Rattus norvegicus: one gene and its partner. The protein of the gene in region 2 purifies or fractionates together with the protein of the main gene of each other region. This does not show direct contact. Links are inferred from orthologs where the notes say so. Each region holds a gene or a part of one and is shown on either strand. Other genes may lie near its edges.

What was found.
Region 1: the proteins of Eya4 (region 2) and Dctpp1 purify together in Homo sapiens (affinity purification with mass spectrometry; 3 studies listed by BioGRID and IntAct, with this or other methods). This does not show direct contact. The link is inferred for Rattus norvegicus from reciprocal best matches to the Homo sapiens genes EYA4 and DCTPP1.

Annotation. Positions count from the first base shown.
Region 1 is NC_086019.1:191,308,481-191,312,817, forward strand, and holds the start of Dctpp1 (dCTP pyrophosphatase 1), read right to left. Parts: upstream 2,847-4,337; 5' UTR 2,794-2,846; coding exon 2,693-2,793; intron 1,807-2,692; coding exon 1,696-1,806; intron 1-1,695. UniProt on the Homo sapiens protein: Hydrolyzes deoxynucleoside triphosphates (dNTPs) to the corresponding nucleoside monophosphates. Has a strong preference for dCTP and its analogs including 5-iodo-dCTP and 5-methyl-dCTP for which it may even have a higher efficiency.
Region 2 is NC_086019.1:24,218,415-24,221,977, reverse strand, and holds part of Eya4 (eyes absent homolog 4), read right to left. Parts: intron 303-3,563; coding exon 244-302; intron 138-243; coding exon 1-137. UniProt on the Homo sapiens protein: Tyrosine phosphatase that specifically dephosphorylates 'Tyr-142' of histone H2AX (H2AXY142ph). 'Tyr-142' phosphorylation of histone H2AX plays a central role in DNA repair and acts as a mark that distinguishes between apoptotic and repair responses to genotoxic stress.

The DNA of each region.
Region 1 (4,337 bases), about 170 Mb from region 2:
TCAGCCACAGAGTGACCAAGAGAACACTTGCTGAGACACTCCGAGGTTCAGTTCTACTTTTCACTAGTGCTAGCTGCTGTCACTCCATACTAAACCCCGGACCTGAGTCAGTGCAGGAATTCACCTTCCTGTTAACTCCTCTCTACCCACTTGCTCTCCCACCCAAAGCCACCATTACCTCTTCTGTTTGTGGTCACTGTTCCTTCTACTATGAACACCACCCCCCATCCTCCTAGATTTCCCTTTCTTGATACTTCGGTCTCAATTCAGAGCTTATCATCTCAGAAACCCTTTCTCTCTCATCTGCTTATGTAATTATCCCCTTCCCGAGACTGACTCCTGTGTACCTCAGGTTTCAGTCTCCCTGTGGCCGAGGACGACCACCTACCTCCCCAGCCCTCAGCCTCTGCCTCTCAAGCCCTGGGGTTACATCACACACCACCACATCTGACTTGATTTTCCCTTAGCCCTTGTCAGAGTTCCAGATCACTTAAAACTGTGTTCTTACTCTTCTTCTACCAGGAGTGGAGGCTGTGTGGTCCACGGCCTCCCAGCCTTTGTTATAGATAACCTAGCTCACAACTGATGCTAACTCATCTGTACAAAAGGAATGGCCCACCCTCAAGTGCATTTTATATGCCCTCTAGACTTCATCCCACAATGGCTGCCCAGAGTTAGGTCCACACCAGCCTGCTCACTAGCCTGCTCTAATCCAATTTTCAGGTGTCCAATCTGCCCTGCAGGCACAGAAATCTTTCTGCTACTGAGGTTAGACCAGGCCTTCTGCCTGAACTCCAACACCTTCTAACTCCAATCTTATCCGCCTGGGCTTGCCTCACACCCTATCTTCCACAGTTCCCACTTCTATGTAAGGCCTACAGTGGGCTAGATACTTGGGCCACAAAGAGAACAAAAACAGATACAAAACCCCCCCTTTTCTTGGGAAAGCTAATTTTGAATTAGATTCTCCCAGAATCTAACTTGCCCTTTCTCATCTCACTACTACTTTTTAAAGGACAGATTTATTTATTCTGCAGATAGATGTAAGTGCCTGTTTGTATGGGCACTATGTATATGCAGAGCCTCCACGGCCAGAAGAGAGTGTGGGATCCCGTGAAACTGGAGTTATAGGAGGTTGTAACCTGGCACAGGGGTGCTGGGAACTGAACTCGCACTTCTGCAAGGGCAGGAAGTGCTCTTAAGCCCTGAGAAATCTCAGCAGCCCCACTGCCTCTGCAAAGGAAGTTCCCTGTCTGGCAGGCTACCTTTTAAAATTCCTTATTTCAGCTCTACACAGAGGTAAAATGCTTGTGACAACTGTCTGCCACCCCCAACACACACACACTCACTCTTTTTCCTTTGAGACAGGGTTTCTCTGCATAGCCCCAGCATCTTGAAATCCGCTGTAGAGCAGGCTGGCCTCAAACTTACATATCCACTGCCTGCCTGACTCATGCTGCACCACTACAGCCCTGCTGACTGTTCTTAGACCTCAGTCTACCTCACTGTTCTACACTTTCATTCTCTCCCTGGAAACTTCCTGGCACCCTACAGGGACTGTGGCCCTTGTGACTTCAGCAGCAGCACAGAATACAGCTGTAAGGAAAATAAAACAAACCCCAGTTTTTGAGGCTCAAATACATTCTCTCTCCACCCCCAAAACAGCCTCTTCCAGGAAGCCTCCCATCTACTCACAAGAGTTCTGCCAGCTCGCCCACTTCTCCCACCAAGGCTAGGAGCAGGTTCCGAGGCTGGTGGAACTGTTCCCAGTCCCGCTCAGCAGCAAACTCTGCATGGAGGCGTCGGCTGAAATAAAGGAGTGGAGGTTCAAGTCTCAGGGTTAGAGGACAAGATGCAGGTACCCAGCATACACCTATAAGGACACAGGCCTAGGAATTTTAACAGTCGATTTCTTGGATGTCCTTAAGTTACTACCTTTTTTTTTTTTTTAAAGATTTATGTATTTTATGTGAGTGCACTGTAGCTGTCTTCAGACACACCAGGAGAGGACATCGGATCCCATTGCAGATGGTTGTGAGCCACCATGTGGGTGCTGGGAAATGAACTCAGGACCTCTGGAAGAGCAACCAGTGCTCTTAACCACTGAGCCATCTCTCCAGCCCCAAGTTTCTACCTTTTAATAAGACTTTCTTATTGTCAGGAAATAAACGTGCCCCTGTACAGATTTTACCCTCAAGTCAAATTTAGCAACAACACCCTTTATTATTCCATTTTTTTTTTTACTGCTAGTTCTTCTGGTACTCAACCTTAACGCCCCTATTCCCGCACACCTAGGTCTAACTAAATCACAGGATGTAATTTTGAGACATTGCCCACTGAGGCCTTCCTTGACATTCTGCAAGGAAAAAAAAAAAATAAAACATTTCTATGCTTCAGCTTCCCCTGTTCAACTGCCCATCACTCCTAGGGTGCAGAGGTACTATCCGACCTCTGTAACCTCTCCAAGGTTGTACTAAAAATTGGTACTAACATGCCCAGGGGCGTCACCCAATTTCCCTGGCTTCAAGTGCGCACTGTACACATAAGGTTTGGCTGGGCTCTCCAAAGAACTGCCAGGAGGGCCTGGGTGGACATGGGTATGTTGTTCTTCTTGTGGACCACGTGGAGGGACCCTCCCCACTACAACAAAAAGGTCAGTATCTCCAACCGAGGCTGGACAAGGACTGCTTACATGTCCTCAAGCGTGGGCTCTGGGCTGAAGCTGAACGGGCCGGCAGCAGCAGAGTCTTCTTGCCCCCCATTACCGCACACACCGGTACCAGCTTGGGACATTCCGCCCACCAGTCCCAGCCGCGCGGGAGCAAACTCCGCGCCACGTTCAGAGCCGCCTCTAGGGTTCCGACCAATCACGGTTTCTCTGTTGCGTCCCCGGGGCGGAGCCGGAGGGGGACCCAATCATATAGACGGATTTTTGCTACGCACCGCCTCTTCTCCGGCCTAGACCAATCTGAAGGGAGTTTCAAGTGTATTTTCGGTGCCCTCGAGTTCTTTCGCCCAGGCGAAACTCTTAAAGGGAAAGGTACGAAATCAATCTGGGAAAGAGACAGAACAGAAGCCTAATGTGACGTTGTTTGCTTAATGGGCGCCAGATGGCGCCAAAGTGAAATAGCAGACGCGGAGGAGGCGGGTCCACTCAGAGCAAAAACCCTACAGTTTGTGCGTGGTCACTTAGTTACGCTGTTTAAGGTTCCAGTCTTCACACAATTTGAAAAAGGTTGATGAGAAAAAGTGCAGGCTTCTAGAGAGGAGGAGAATCCAGGCTTTGTAACCCATTTCAGCGTCCTACCCCAGTGGATTCCAATGATTGGAAGCAATTGATCCATCCTTGTCCTACAGGGAGAGGAAGACATTCCTCCTCTTTACCTACAGCATAGAATACATGACACCGCAATTGGTGGCAGGTAGATAGGGTATGGCCGCTGCCCCATGGGTGACTATAACAGCCTTACACAATGCACAAGAGGACACCAAACTCGTTTACATAGGCTAGTTTTTGAAGCATTTTTTAAAAGATTTGTTTTATTTTGTTTGAGTACCCTGTAGCTGTCTTTAGACACACCAGAAGAAGGCACAGGATCCCATTACAGATGGTTGTGAGCCACCATGTGGTTGCTGGGAATTGAACTCAGGACCTCTAGGAAGAGCAGTCGGTGCTCTTAACCACTGAGCCATCTCTCCAGCCCCTTTTAAAGATTTTTTTTTTTTTTTTTTGGTTCTATTTTTGGAGCTGGGGACCGAATTTTAAAGACTTTTTAAAAGACTTGTTTTTTATTCTCTCTCTCTCTCACTCCCCCTTCTCTCTGTCTCTTTCTCCCTCCCTTACCCCCCTGCTCTGTGTGTGTGTGTGTGTGTGTGTGTGTGTGTGTGTGTGTGTGTGTGTGTGTTTCCAAGTATGTCTTTGTACCACTTGTGTGCCTGGTACCCAGGGCATCCAGAAGAAGATGTTAGATCCTGGAACTGAAGTTACAGACACTGTGAAATGCCAGTGGGAACTGGGAATAAAACTGTGGTCCTGGGGTTGGGGATTTAGCTCAGTGGTAGAGCGCTTGCCTAGGAAGCGCAAGGCCCTGGGTTCGGTCCCCAGCTCCGAAAAAAAAGAACCAAAAACAACAACAACAACAAAAAAAAAACCAAAAAAAAAAAAAAAAACCAAAAAACTGTGGTCCTCTACAAGAGCAGGTGGTCTTATCTTTGGAGCCATATTTCCAGACAGGTAAAATTTTTCTTCCTCAAGATCTACAAAAAGATTATGTGTATGCATGTGTGGGTATGTGCATTGGGTGTGTGCACATGAGTGCAGTTGTTGGCAAAGGAAT
Region 2 (3,563 bases):
TATATAATTCCTTTACTCTTCTGTAACGAAAAGCCAGCTTCCTCATCCAGTCCACCCCTCCTCTCACACCTGTTGGCAAACAAAGGTTCGCACTACTTGCAGTTGCATGGAAGCCATCAGTTGCAAAACTGTAGGTACTGCAACACCCAGAATACATTAAAAAGAAACAGAAGAAATAATTACATGTACAAAACTCCACAGCTGAATTTCTGTAGGAAACGGAAGACTGAAAGCGCGGCTTACCTTAAGTCCTGACCATTGTCATCGGAGGAAACATCATCTATATGAACTTGATCACACTCCTGGGAAAAGGCAACAGCAGACATTACCAAACTTGGCTACCACCTTCAGGTTTCCCATCATCCCACAGCGGCAGGCTACGGCCACGAGGTGGCAGCATGGGTCCATTCTGCCCTCCCTCTGACGCCTGTTTTCTTACGCATAAAAGGGAAATGGTACCACTTCTCTGAGATCTAAATCCACAAAGCAGTCTGGAAACTCGGGGTGCTTTGAAAAATAAGTTTAATCTTAATATCATTGCTAAGAAGAACCCGCGAATCTTTGAGATCAGTGCCCTTGCTAATCTGGAAATCCGCAATGTGCCTGGGGTCCGAGCATCTCAAGTGGTCACTGTTATTTATTATTTGCTTGGTGGAAGTGAAGGGGTCTTGACCTCAGAACATGGTGTCTTCTGAGCTTTCCAAGACTTCCTGCTCCTTGCTAGTATGAAAGTGTCATTTTACTTAAAGTCCTGGTTTTCTGATACAGAACAAAGCTAGCGGCCATAGAGGCTGACACCTTCTTTCGTCGGGCTTTAGAGTTTTGAAAATGTCAACAAATACAAGTAAAGTCGTGAAGATTTACATACCAAAAGCAATACAACCTCCAAGGAAAATAAATTTGTTAAGATTGTCCATAGTGGATCTGATTTCAAGTTCGAATTTGCTTAAAGCAAATAGTGGCTTCCACATAGAAATCGGGCCCTTAGAGGTTCCAAAAAGCTTGTTCTGCGTTTAAATGATCTGCAGGGTTCCCGTGAAATGTTACATGATTTAAGACAAAATTTGCTGATGAGATTTAAGGATGACTAGATCCCAGAGGATTAAGTTCACAGGTTACACATGATTATAAGTCACAATAAATCAATGAGAGAGAGAGAGAGAGAGAGAGAGAGAGAGAGAGAGAGAGAGAGAGAGAGAGAGAGAGAGAGAGAGAGAGATTTTGACTTGCAGGGGATTGAAGCCAGGTCTGCACGTTTCTGCAAGTGTTTTACTGCTGAGTTAACATTTTCCAGTTTCTTCTTTGGATTATCTCACTTGTATACCTCCAGATCTTGATGCTATAAATAGCACTTATCATTCAAAGATCAATTTAAAATTAGTAGGTATGGAACTATGCCATATTAAGAAAGAGTCTCCACTTCAAATTTGTTATAATAGACCTGGAAGGGACTGTAATCAAGCACCAAATGTCGAGCCTTCAGCCTAGTCTAGAACATGTCGATCCTATTTCAATGGATTCAGAATTGGAGGGCGAGGGGATGCCTCAGCAGCAGGGAGAGAGCAGCTGAGCCTGAGGACCTGACCTTGAAGCCAGGAGCCCACATGGTGGATGGAGAGAAAGGACTCCTGTGGCCTGTCCTCTCACCTCCACAGGCCCGTGATGTGGACTGTGTCCTTCCTCAAGTAAATAAACAAATATGAACCAAAGAAATAATAAAACAGAAACTAAGTGGTGAGCGTAGTCAGGAAAGTGTTCATATGTGATTTCAAAATGTACTTGGGATGGAGGGGTGGCTCGGCTTTTCACAGCATTTGCTACGCTTCTGGAGGACCCAGGTTTAGATCCCAGCACTCCTGATGAGGCTGAGCATGCCCTTTTCTGCCTTCTCTGGGCACTGTATAGTCGGGCAGTGGTGGGCACACACCTTCAATCCCAGGACTTGGGAGGCAGAGGCAGGTGATTCATTGAGATTTGCCAGCCTGGTCTACAGACAAAGTTCCAGGACGGCCAGGGGTACACAGAGAAACTCTGTAAAAATGAAGATGAAAGAAAGAAAGAAAGAAAGAAGTAGGAGGATGGAAGGAAGGAAGAAGAAAGGAAGGAAGGAAAGAAGGAAGGAAGGAAAAAGAATATCCTCATGCAGTTTGTTATCACATTCAATGAGTATGCACCAATAAGAAACCTCTAACTAAAAGCCACAGAATTGCTTCTTAATCACATTGTAGGAGTCTAGGTAATGATAGTAATTGGCAGAGTTTCTCCATCACTTCAAATTTCTAACACAAAGTTATAGTGACATAAATTAATACCCTAGATGGCGAGGCTTGTGGGAAAGTATGGCTGCTCTCAGTACAGAGAGAAGAGGAGGGACAGGAGATGAGGCTGCCTGAGCTACCTTGGTATCTCACAGTTGAGAGGGATGCAGGCTTCTCTGCAGCAAAAGGAGGCATTGCACCTCCAAAACCCTCTCATGTGCAAGTTTATCAAGCTGCTGCCTTGGCCTTTACACTGACTAAGCAGTTAGCATTTAAGCAGGAAGCCCTACTATCCCCAGAATATGGAGACACTTAAGGTACTCTACATGACCTAAGTATCCGCTCTTTAGACATGGTAGCATTCTTTAAATAAATGTTAATGTGTACAGATGTTTTGCCATCACATATTTGTGTACCATGTGTGTATCTGGTCCCACCGAATCCAGAAGACGGCTGTTTCCCATGGGACTGGACTTACAGACCGTTGTGAGCAGCCGTATGGGTACTAGGATTTGGACCTAGGTCCTCTGGAAGAACAGCCAGTGCTTTTAGCCTCATAGAAACTTTTCTAGCTCAGACATGGTGATATTCTTGGGAGGCATTTAGATAGAAATAAATACCTGCAGATCATCACTCTCCTGAACTTCCAAAAGCTTTCCTCATGTAAATAGCTTCCATCTGTCCCTTAACACAATATTCTTACAAAAAACTCCAAAATGGCAATGGCGAGGGAGAATTTTTGAGTTCTTCTAACCACCAGAAGCTATTTCTTAAATATTTCCTTATTGTAATTTTTTTACAAAAAGCTCCCCATGACATTTCAAGTATTAACTCACATGATTAATTTATATATGACTTGCCCCAAAATTCATTTTTTACTCCAGAGGACAACAGTATATCAAACTTATTGGACCATGTACTCTGTATTTGAAGTTAGGTTTGAGGGTCTTCCAAATCTAACTTCTTTTTATATTTATGCTTAGCAACTCTGCGTGTTGACTCTGGACAGTTGCCCAAGGATTACAGTTCACTGAAAGAAAGTTGAACTTCAATTACTTAGATTTTTTTTTTAGGGAAAGATAAATAATTTTTCATCAACTAGCTTTCATTGTGGAAACCAGGCAGGAGTCATTTTAACCTAAAGCTAAAATACTCCCAAATTATTCAAGAGCTTTGGTTTTTGAACACAGCTTAGCAAAGACCTCAAAATCTTAAAATAATTCTGGTGTTAATCATAAATGCTTTAAATTTGTCTTATGAGGTAACCACAAGGTTGTCCCTGATCTATTCCAGGTAGAAGCCACA